2 linked regions of the Macaca fascicularis genome follow. Each later gene encodes a partner of the first gene's protein in a complex. Links are inferred from orthologs where the notes say so. Each region holds a gene or a part of one and is shown on either strand. Other genes may lie near its edges.

Evidence for each region.
Region 2: ZBTB8OS (region 1) and FAM98B share a complex: the UniProt entries of both Homo sapiens proteins name them as parts of the tRNA-splicing ligase complex. The link is inferred for Macaca fascicularis from reciprocal best matches to the Homo sapiens genes ZBTB8OS and FAM98B.

What each region holds. Positions count from the first base shown.
Region 1 is NC_088375.1:202,362,531-202,366,804, reverse strand, and holds the start of ZBTB8OS (protein archease), read right to left. Parts: upstream 3,025-4,274; 5' UTR 3,013-3,024; coding exon 2,880-3,012; exon of another isoform or gene 2,876-2,879; intron 1-2,875. UniProt on the Homo sapiens protein: Component of the tRNA-splicing ligase complex required to facilitate the enzymatic turnover of catalytic subunit RTCB. Together with DDX1, acts by facilitating the guanylylation of RTCB, a key intermediate step in tRNA ligation.
Region 2 is NC_088381.1:14,971,464-14,975,283, reverse strand, and holds part of FAM98B (protein FAM98B), read right to left. Parts: intron 427-3,820; coding exon 281-426; intron 1-280. UniProt on the Homo sapiens protein: Positively stimulates PRMT1-induced protein arginine dimethylated arginine methylation.

The sequences.
Region 1 (4,274 bases):
TATATTTACAACCACTCCCCATTGCCTACATTACTGCCTGAGCTCCACCTTCTTTTGGATCAGGCGCAGCATTAGATTCTCATAGGAGCTTGAACACTATTGTGAACTGCACATTGGAGGGATCTAGGTTGTGTGCTCCCTATGAGAATCTAAAGCCTGATGATCTGTCACCCCCATATGGGACCACCTAGTTGCAAGAAAACAAGCTCAGGGCTCCCACTGATTCTGTATTACAGTGGGCTGTATAATTATTTCATTATATATTACAATGTAATAAAACTGAAATAAAATGCACAATAATGTAATGCACTTGAATCATCCTGAAACCATACTCCCCTACAACGCCCATTGGTGGAAAAACTGACTTCCGTGAAACCAGTCCCTGGTGCCAAAAAAGTTGGGGACCACAGGTTAATGAGCTGCACTGCATAACAATACTATCTGCCTAGTAAGAAAAACTAGTAACCCAAGAGAAAAAAAAATAACCCAAGAGAAAAAAGGGCTAAGAATATTAACATACACACCCCAGTATGGGAAATACAAATAGCTTCCAAAACACTATAATATGTTCAACTTCACTTACAATAAGAAAAATACAGTAAGTATACTTTACAAATTGGAAAAGGCCAAAAAGTATGGTAACGGTAAAAGTGGGAGGAAAGAGGCACATTCACACAATACTAGTGAAAGTATAAATTGGTACAACTTCTATAGAGAGCAATTTGGCAATAACTGTCTAAGTTAAAATATCCTTTTAAAAAACGTATGAGTCTTAGCAACGGAAACAAAAAAAAACGCACATATCCTTTGGCAAAGCAATTTAACTTGGAGAACTTGATTCTACAGATTCACTTGCACATGTACAAAACAATGGATGTACAAGTGTATTCACTGCTGCACTGTTTCTAATACCACAAGAGTAAAAATAGCCTAAACATCCATCAACTGAAAACTGGTTAAAGTAAATGCTAGAACATCTAGGTATGTACATGTAAGAAAAAGGTAACGATGACTGCCCTATAGAGGGGAACTAGGTGGTTGGGGATGGGGGCTGCCAGAGTTACTTTTCACTGCGTTACGTCACACTTTCTGAATTTCGAATCAATATATATGACTTATTAAAAATAATTGTTTTTTTTGAGACAGAGTCAGGCTCTGTGGCCCAGATCTGTCACCCAGGCTGGAGTGCAATGGCGCAACCTCAGCTCATGGCAACCTCCGCCTCCCGGGTTCAAGCAATTCTCCTGCCTCAGCCTCCCAAGTAGCTGGGATTACAGGCGCCCACCAACATGCCCATCTAATTTTTGCATTTTTAGTACAGATGCGGTTTCACCATGTTGGCCAGGCCAGGCTGGTCTCAAACTCCTGACCTCAGGTGATCCACCCGCCTCAACCTCCCAAAGTGCTGGGATTACAGGCGTGAGCCACAGCATCCAATCTTTTTTTTTGGGGGGGGGGCGGGGACAGTATCCCTCTGTTGCCCAGGCCGGAGTGCAGTGCTGTGATCTCAGCTCATTGCAACCTCCACCTCCTGGGTTCAAGCAATTCTTCTGCCTCAGCCTCCCGAGTAGCTGGGATTACAGGCGCCCACCATCATGCCCAGCTAATTTTTGCATTTTTAGTAGAGACGGGGTTTCACCACGTTGGCCAGACTGGTCTGGAACTCTGACCTCAGGGGATCCACTCATGTCGGTTTCCCAAAGTGCTGGGATTATAGGTGTGAGCCACTGCGCCCGGCCTATATTTTAAAATTGTTTTTAAGTGAGAGAAGGGGATATGCTAGGAGGTATGCCAGGTCCAGAAAGCACAGAGCCTAGAATACTATGGTAAATAAGTAGATTTTACAGAGAGGACAATGAGAAATTAATGAAAGTTTTTAAGCAGATAAATAAAAGTCAGATTTGTGCTCCCCAAACCACAGCTACCTTTAGGGATGACAGCTTAACGTTTAATATAGAATTTAAGAGACGAAGATAGGTTATGTGATTTGCCTAAAGTCACTAAGCGAATAAATGGCAAAACCAGATGGGCGCTGCAGCGCGGGCTATGATCTCTTCATTGCACTCCAGCCTGGACGACAGAGCGAGACCCCATCTCTAAAAACATATATATATATATGTATTTTTTTTTTGAGACAGTTTCGCTCGTTGCCCAGGCTGTAGTGCAATGGGACGATCTCGGCTCACCGCAACCTCCGCCTCCCAGGTTCAAGCGATTCTCCTGCCTCAGTCTCCCGAGTAGCTGGGATTACAGGCATGCGCCACCACGCCCAGCTAATTTTTTATTTTTAGTAGAGACGGGTTTTTTCCATGTTCGTCAGGCTGATCTTGAACTTCCAAACTCAGGTGATCCGCCCGCCTCGGCCTCCCAAAGTGCTGGGATTACAGGCGTGAGCCACCGCGCCCGACGTAAAATAATCATTTTTAAAAATCACAATCATAAATGGCAAAACCAGGTCTTTTTGCTAATATGATCGAGGTGAAACATCAAGTTAGAAATCCCCTAATTAGCTTTCCGAGTCCTCTAACCTGGCACACTCTTATCTCACCGTTGGGAAATACATGGGAGTAACAACCCTGCAAACGCCTGAAAATATGGTTATCTTTAGAATTTACGAAGATAAATGTGATTAGGCACATGTGAAAGAAGTTCAAGAGACTGTAAATGAGAGAGGCCAGGTTTCGCGACTATTAAACCAGGTGGCTTTTTCCTTCAGCATCCCCAGGACAAGTACGAATGAGACTATAACACCCGGCACAAATGGGATCACGCTTGAAGTACCTATGGGGCAAAGGAGAAAGAGTAGCAGGAAGCTGCGGGTAAGGAGAGAGGATGCCTGTGTGCTCACATCTAAAGAGAGAAGTAAGCCACCTACTCACACTCGTACTTCCTATTGACTGGCGGATACTTGGCCTTGATCGCCTTCTGTTCCTCAGTCAAATTGTAATCTCTAACATCTTCCTCCTCCTGCGCCATCACTGCAGGATTAGACACTCTACTTCCGCCCTTCATCCGCCGGACTTCGGCCCGCAGTTACTACTTCCGCTCTAGACCCCGCCCCTGAGCACACACCCCTAAAGAACCACAGTCCGTTCTCGGAGTTGGCCGCTAACCTGCTTTAGTCCCGACCCTGTTGCTTGGATCACATGTTTAAAAGGCCAAAACCCCATCTTCTGCCCTCCCTTCATTACTAGTTCCTTCTCAAGACTAAGGGAAAACGTTGAAGGGCACCTTGAATGAAACCCCTCTGGCTCTGAGTGGCGAGGTTCTTTTCCCCGCCTCACCCCCAAAATTTATAATTAGACCCGAAGTCATTCTATATTTTTCATCTCAGTACTCTGAAAGGGTTGTAAGCTTAACAGCCTTCAAGAAAATGGCTGCCCTCGGGCCGCGGGAGTGTGTGGACTAAACCTCTCTCACGTGACCCTGGCCGGGCGCAGTCCCGTCAACGCTGTCGCGCGCAGTCGCTAGAAGTCGGCGGCGGGAGGTGTTGGGGGAGGGGCGGAGCGCGCGCCTCGGTCCCCGCGGAAAGCTACTCCGCGCGTCTGGATAGGTCGCAAGCGCGGCTTCCCCGCCCTTCCCGCCGTTAGGAGCGCTCCGATTGGCTGATGTTGGCGCGAAGGTGCGCGAGTCGGCCCTCGCGCTGGGGGCGCAGGAAACAATAGAGGCCGCGCGCGCAGAGCGAGCGCCTGCTGCCTCCCCGCCCCTCCCGGAACGCTCGACCCTAGGGTTCCCCCGGCTCGTCTGCCCGCCATGGCCGACAAGGAAGGTGAGGGTTCCGGGGCCGCCCCAGGAGGGCAGCGGGTGCCGGGGCTGAGCCGCGGCCTCGACACGGCCTAACAGTGAGGGCAGGCCCGAGTTTGCCGAGTGCAGTTCCCGGTACCGAAGGCGTGAAGAGGGAACTCCCCGCGGGGCGGGCTAACGGCTCGCGGGTTCCCTGGGACCGACGTCCGTCGCCGCTGGCGAAGCTGGCGGTGGGGCTCCCGGCGGTTGTTTGTTCCTCCTCCTGCCCTCGATATCGGTCTCTCGGCCTCTGTCCCGAGCCTCGGGACACCGCTTTCTACCCACAAGGCTCGGAGCTCGGGCCTTCTAGTCGGGCTTGTGAGTTTCAGCGCGCGCGAGCGTGCTCCGAAGGCCTGGCCCGGTGGCGTGGAACGGGTAACGGAGTGTTTGGCGGGGATGCCCCGAGGAGTTCTGGCGCCGCGAAGGTGGAGAGGAGTGTGGGTACCTCTGCCGTGGGGATTTAGACAAATCACCTCCATTTCAGAGTGAGG
Region 2 (3,820 bases), on another chromosome or scaffold:
AAACTGTACTAAGGTTTAGACAGCAGATATCAGAGTTGTCAGGAAGAGAAAAAAATAGCAGATAAACAGGAATTGCTTATAGTTTTATAGCAAATTTAAGTATCAATTTTGGATTAATATAAAATTTAATCCAAACATGTTTACTACCACATACTGAAATTCTTTGGAATACGTGATTTTTCTTTGTACAATGGGCACATTATTGATAAAACTATAAGCCATAAGTTATCAGTTTATTTTACTATTAAACAGAAAAGTACATAAAACATAATGGCAATACCAGCAGACGTGATACTTTCTTCCAAGTTGCATAATGATTTTATTTGAGAGCCTAACCAAATACAGAGCTCTGAAAATTCAGGTGAAGATAATCCACCCTCTGCTGCCTTCGTAAGGGCTTGCTCTTCTAACAATGGTCCTTTATACCTAGAAAGGAAGAAATACCAGTTAAAAACTAAATAAGCCAATCAAACAAAAAAGCTTTCAATACTCTGTGTCAAGGTCTGCTGCTTGTTTTAGTAAATAAAATGTTATTGGAACACAGCCATTAAATGTATTAATCCACAAATTAGCTATGGCTGTTTCCACACTACAATGGAAGAGCTAAGTAGTTGTAACTGAAAATGACCACTACATGGCCTTTTAAAGAAATGGTTTGCTGATTCCTGCTCTATATAATTAACATTTAGCTTTTTTCCTACATTTTAACATTCCACAGTAAAATTATCTACCAATTTTAAGATAAATTCCACAGATATCACAAAGTCAAATACAGCATAAAGTCTAATAACCTTACATTAATTACAATAAAAGTGTGGTGGAAAAAAGCACAGATACAAATTACAAATTTAAAAAAGCTAAAGTTGAAAAGAACCTATTAGATCATTTTAATCTAAACCTTTTATTTTATATTATTTTATTTATTTACTTATTTGTTTATTTTTGAGACAGGGTCTCACTCTGTCACCCTGGCAGGAGTGTAGTGGCACAATCTGAGCTCACTGCAATCTCTGCCTTCTGGGTTCAAGGGATTCTCATGCCTCAGCCACCAGAGTAGCTAGGATTATGGGCACCCGCCACCACACACAGCTAATGTTTGTATTTTTAGTAGAAAGGAGGTTTAGCCATGTTGGCCAGGCTCTCCTGAGCTCAAGCAATCCACCCACCTCAGCCTCCCAAAGTGCTGGGATTACAGGTGTGAACCACCGTGACTGGCCTCATTTATTTATAATTTTACACTTTTAAACATTTCTGCAAGTTGTATTTCACAAGAATCTTAAATTTTCAAAACACTTTATATACTATCTTAACTAAATTAGATGATCAGTTTTCTACTTTTATGGTTCTTTTTGTAACTGAACTTTTGTTAACATTATAACCTCATAGATAATATATTTGATGTGTTTTCATCCATTACAGTTATTATTCTTTTGATATTCAAATTCTTCTATGTCTGATTTGTAGTAGCCCATTTACATAGGCCAATGGAGCCCTTTGTCTTGTCCCCCGTACTCTCTGAATACTTTCCTTGCTTTCTACAACATCATCTTCCTGCCTTAGACTTGGAATCAGGCATTTCTCCAAGGAGCCCCGATTCTTTTAATGGTATTTAGAGTACATAATCTGGTACCAAAGGTTGGGCACTGTTTCTATGCCTTTTTCAGAGAAACTATATTAGGAGTTCATATTGCTATTTCCAACTGGCATTTAGAATTGTAGGGGTTTTACTTATTTTGTTTTACATTTTTATCTTCTCTTACAATAACAAATCTTGTTTTAATTAACATTTACAAATTCCTAATATATATTAAAATAGGTATAAATTACATATGGCTTCAGAATAGGAAATCTAGCTTACTACCAACAATAAAATTACAGTTTAATTTTTTTATATTTACAATGTATTCCTGTAAGGATATAGAGAAAAACCATTCCCATGTGATTAAACCACCTACTTGATACATCAATAGACATCTGTTTTGTTCAGCTTTTAATTTATAGGGATTTGTTTCTTTTTATTGCATTTTTGTCTTATAATTATGTAAAACATTAATGCGGTTTCAAAGCCTAACTTAAAAAACAAAGTACTTCAGAAAAATCTAGTTTGCAATTTTAATCTTGTATCCTCTACTCTGTTCCCTCCCTCCCCTCCAGGTGACCATATTTATTAGTTTGGGATTGTCCTTCCATCATGTTTTTCAACATAAATATATGCATTTTTGTCTCCTCTTTCAGATAAAAGGTAGCCTACTATATACTGTTCTAGTCCTTGCTTTAAACACATACATGCTCACACACACATACATTTACATTAGTAGAGATCAGTATTTAGAGATATTATTCAACCCTTTTTTACAGTTATATACTACCCCACTGTCTGGATGCACCATATTTTATTTAATCAGCATCTACTAAAGGACACTTGGACTGTTTCCAGTGTTTTATTAATATAGTTCAGCAAATTTTTGTCAGTTTATATCTAGGATAGATTCCTAGAGGTGAGGCTGTTGGGTCAAAGGGTAAACAGATACATAACTTTGCTAGATACTATGAAATTCTCCTGTAGAGGGGTTGTACCATCAAGGCATCAGAGTACCCATTCCCTCATCATTCACCAAAGTTGTCAAACTTTTGGGGTTTTGACCATCTGGTAACAGTATAGTTTTATCTACATTTCTCTTATGAGCAAGACATAGGGCATCTTTGCATATGTTTAAAGGCCACTTGCATTTCTTTTTCTTTGAATTCTCTGGTTATATCAGATGAAGGGTGAGTACAGGTATTTTCAAATCCTCATTTTGTAGGTAAAGAAACTAAGACTTCATGACATTAGGAAACCTGCCTTTATGTAGCAGGCCAGGCACAGTGCTAGGCATGCATACATATATATGTTTCATTTAATCTTTACAGCAATGCTTTAAGTTAGCATTATCCTAATTGTGTAGAATCAGAAGATGGCACTAGCATTTAAATCCACGTTTAACCCAAATGCTCCATCGTTAACATAGGTCTTGTTAGACCTCTATCTACAACTATAAGGAAACTAAGGAAAAAACCTGGTCCAGCTGATACAGCCAAGTAAAGGCAGAGCTGAGACTAGAACATTATTTCTGCACCCCCAGCTCAAGGCTGGTTCTTCTATGACTCAGCCTTCCTCCATGTCTTACAATGCCTCTCAATGAGATTTCATAGTAAACATCTTAGATCCTCTTACTTGCTTTCATTTCTGCAATAAAGCAATACTCATAAACTCTTGAAAGAATTTAACTAATTCATATTGGTGTAAGTTTTTTTTTTTAACTGAAATGTCAATAATAAAAACCAACAAAAACTGGTCAAATCACAAAAAATTCTGAATTTGGAAAAAAGATCTAATCTTTTAACGCCTTAGCTCATCAGGTGAAGTAAAAATAAAAAGAGGAAAAAATAAATGCATTTAACATACCTGAACATCTAATTAACAATCAAAATCACAATAGTGGCTAACATTTATAAAGTGCTAACTGTATGTTGGGTCAGCACTAAATGATTTATATAAATTCATTTAATTGCCACAATACCCTATAAGGTAGATACGATTATTAGCTTCATTTTACAGATGAGGAAGCTCAGGACGATACAGGTAAATAATTCGTACGGGATGGCCATGATCATAGCGAACAATCGTCCCAGAACCGAGCCACACAACCTCTCTGTACAGCCCCGCACTCTTAGCCCCTATTGTTCTGTCACCATCCAGAAATGTCTTATGCAACAGAAGTGTCTCAAAATATTCTGCTAGATAACTGAGTAAGAATATGAAAGCACTTTTCTGGCTAGA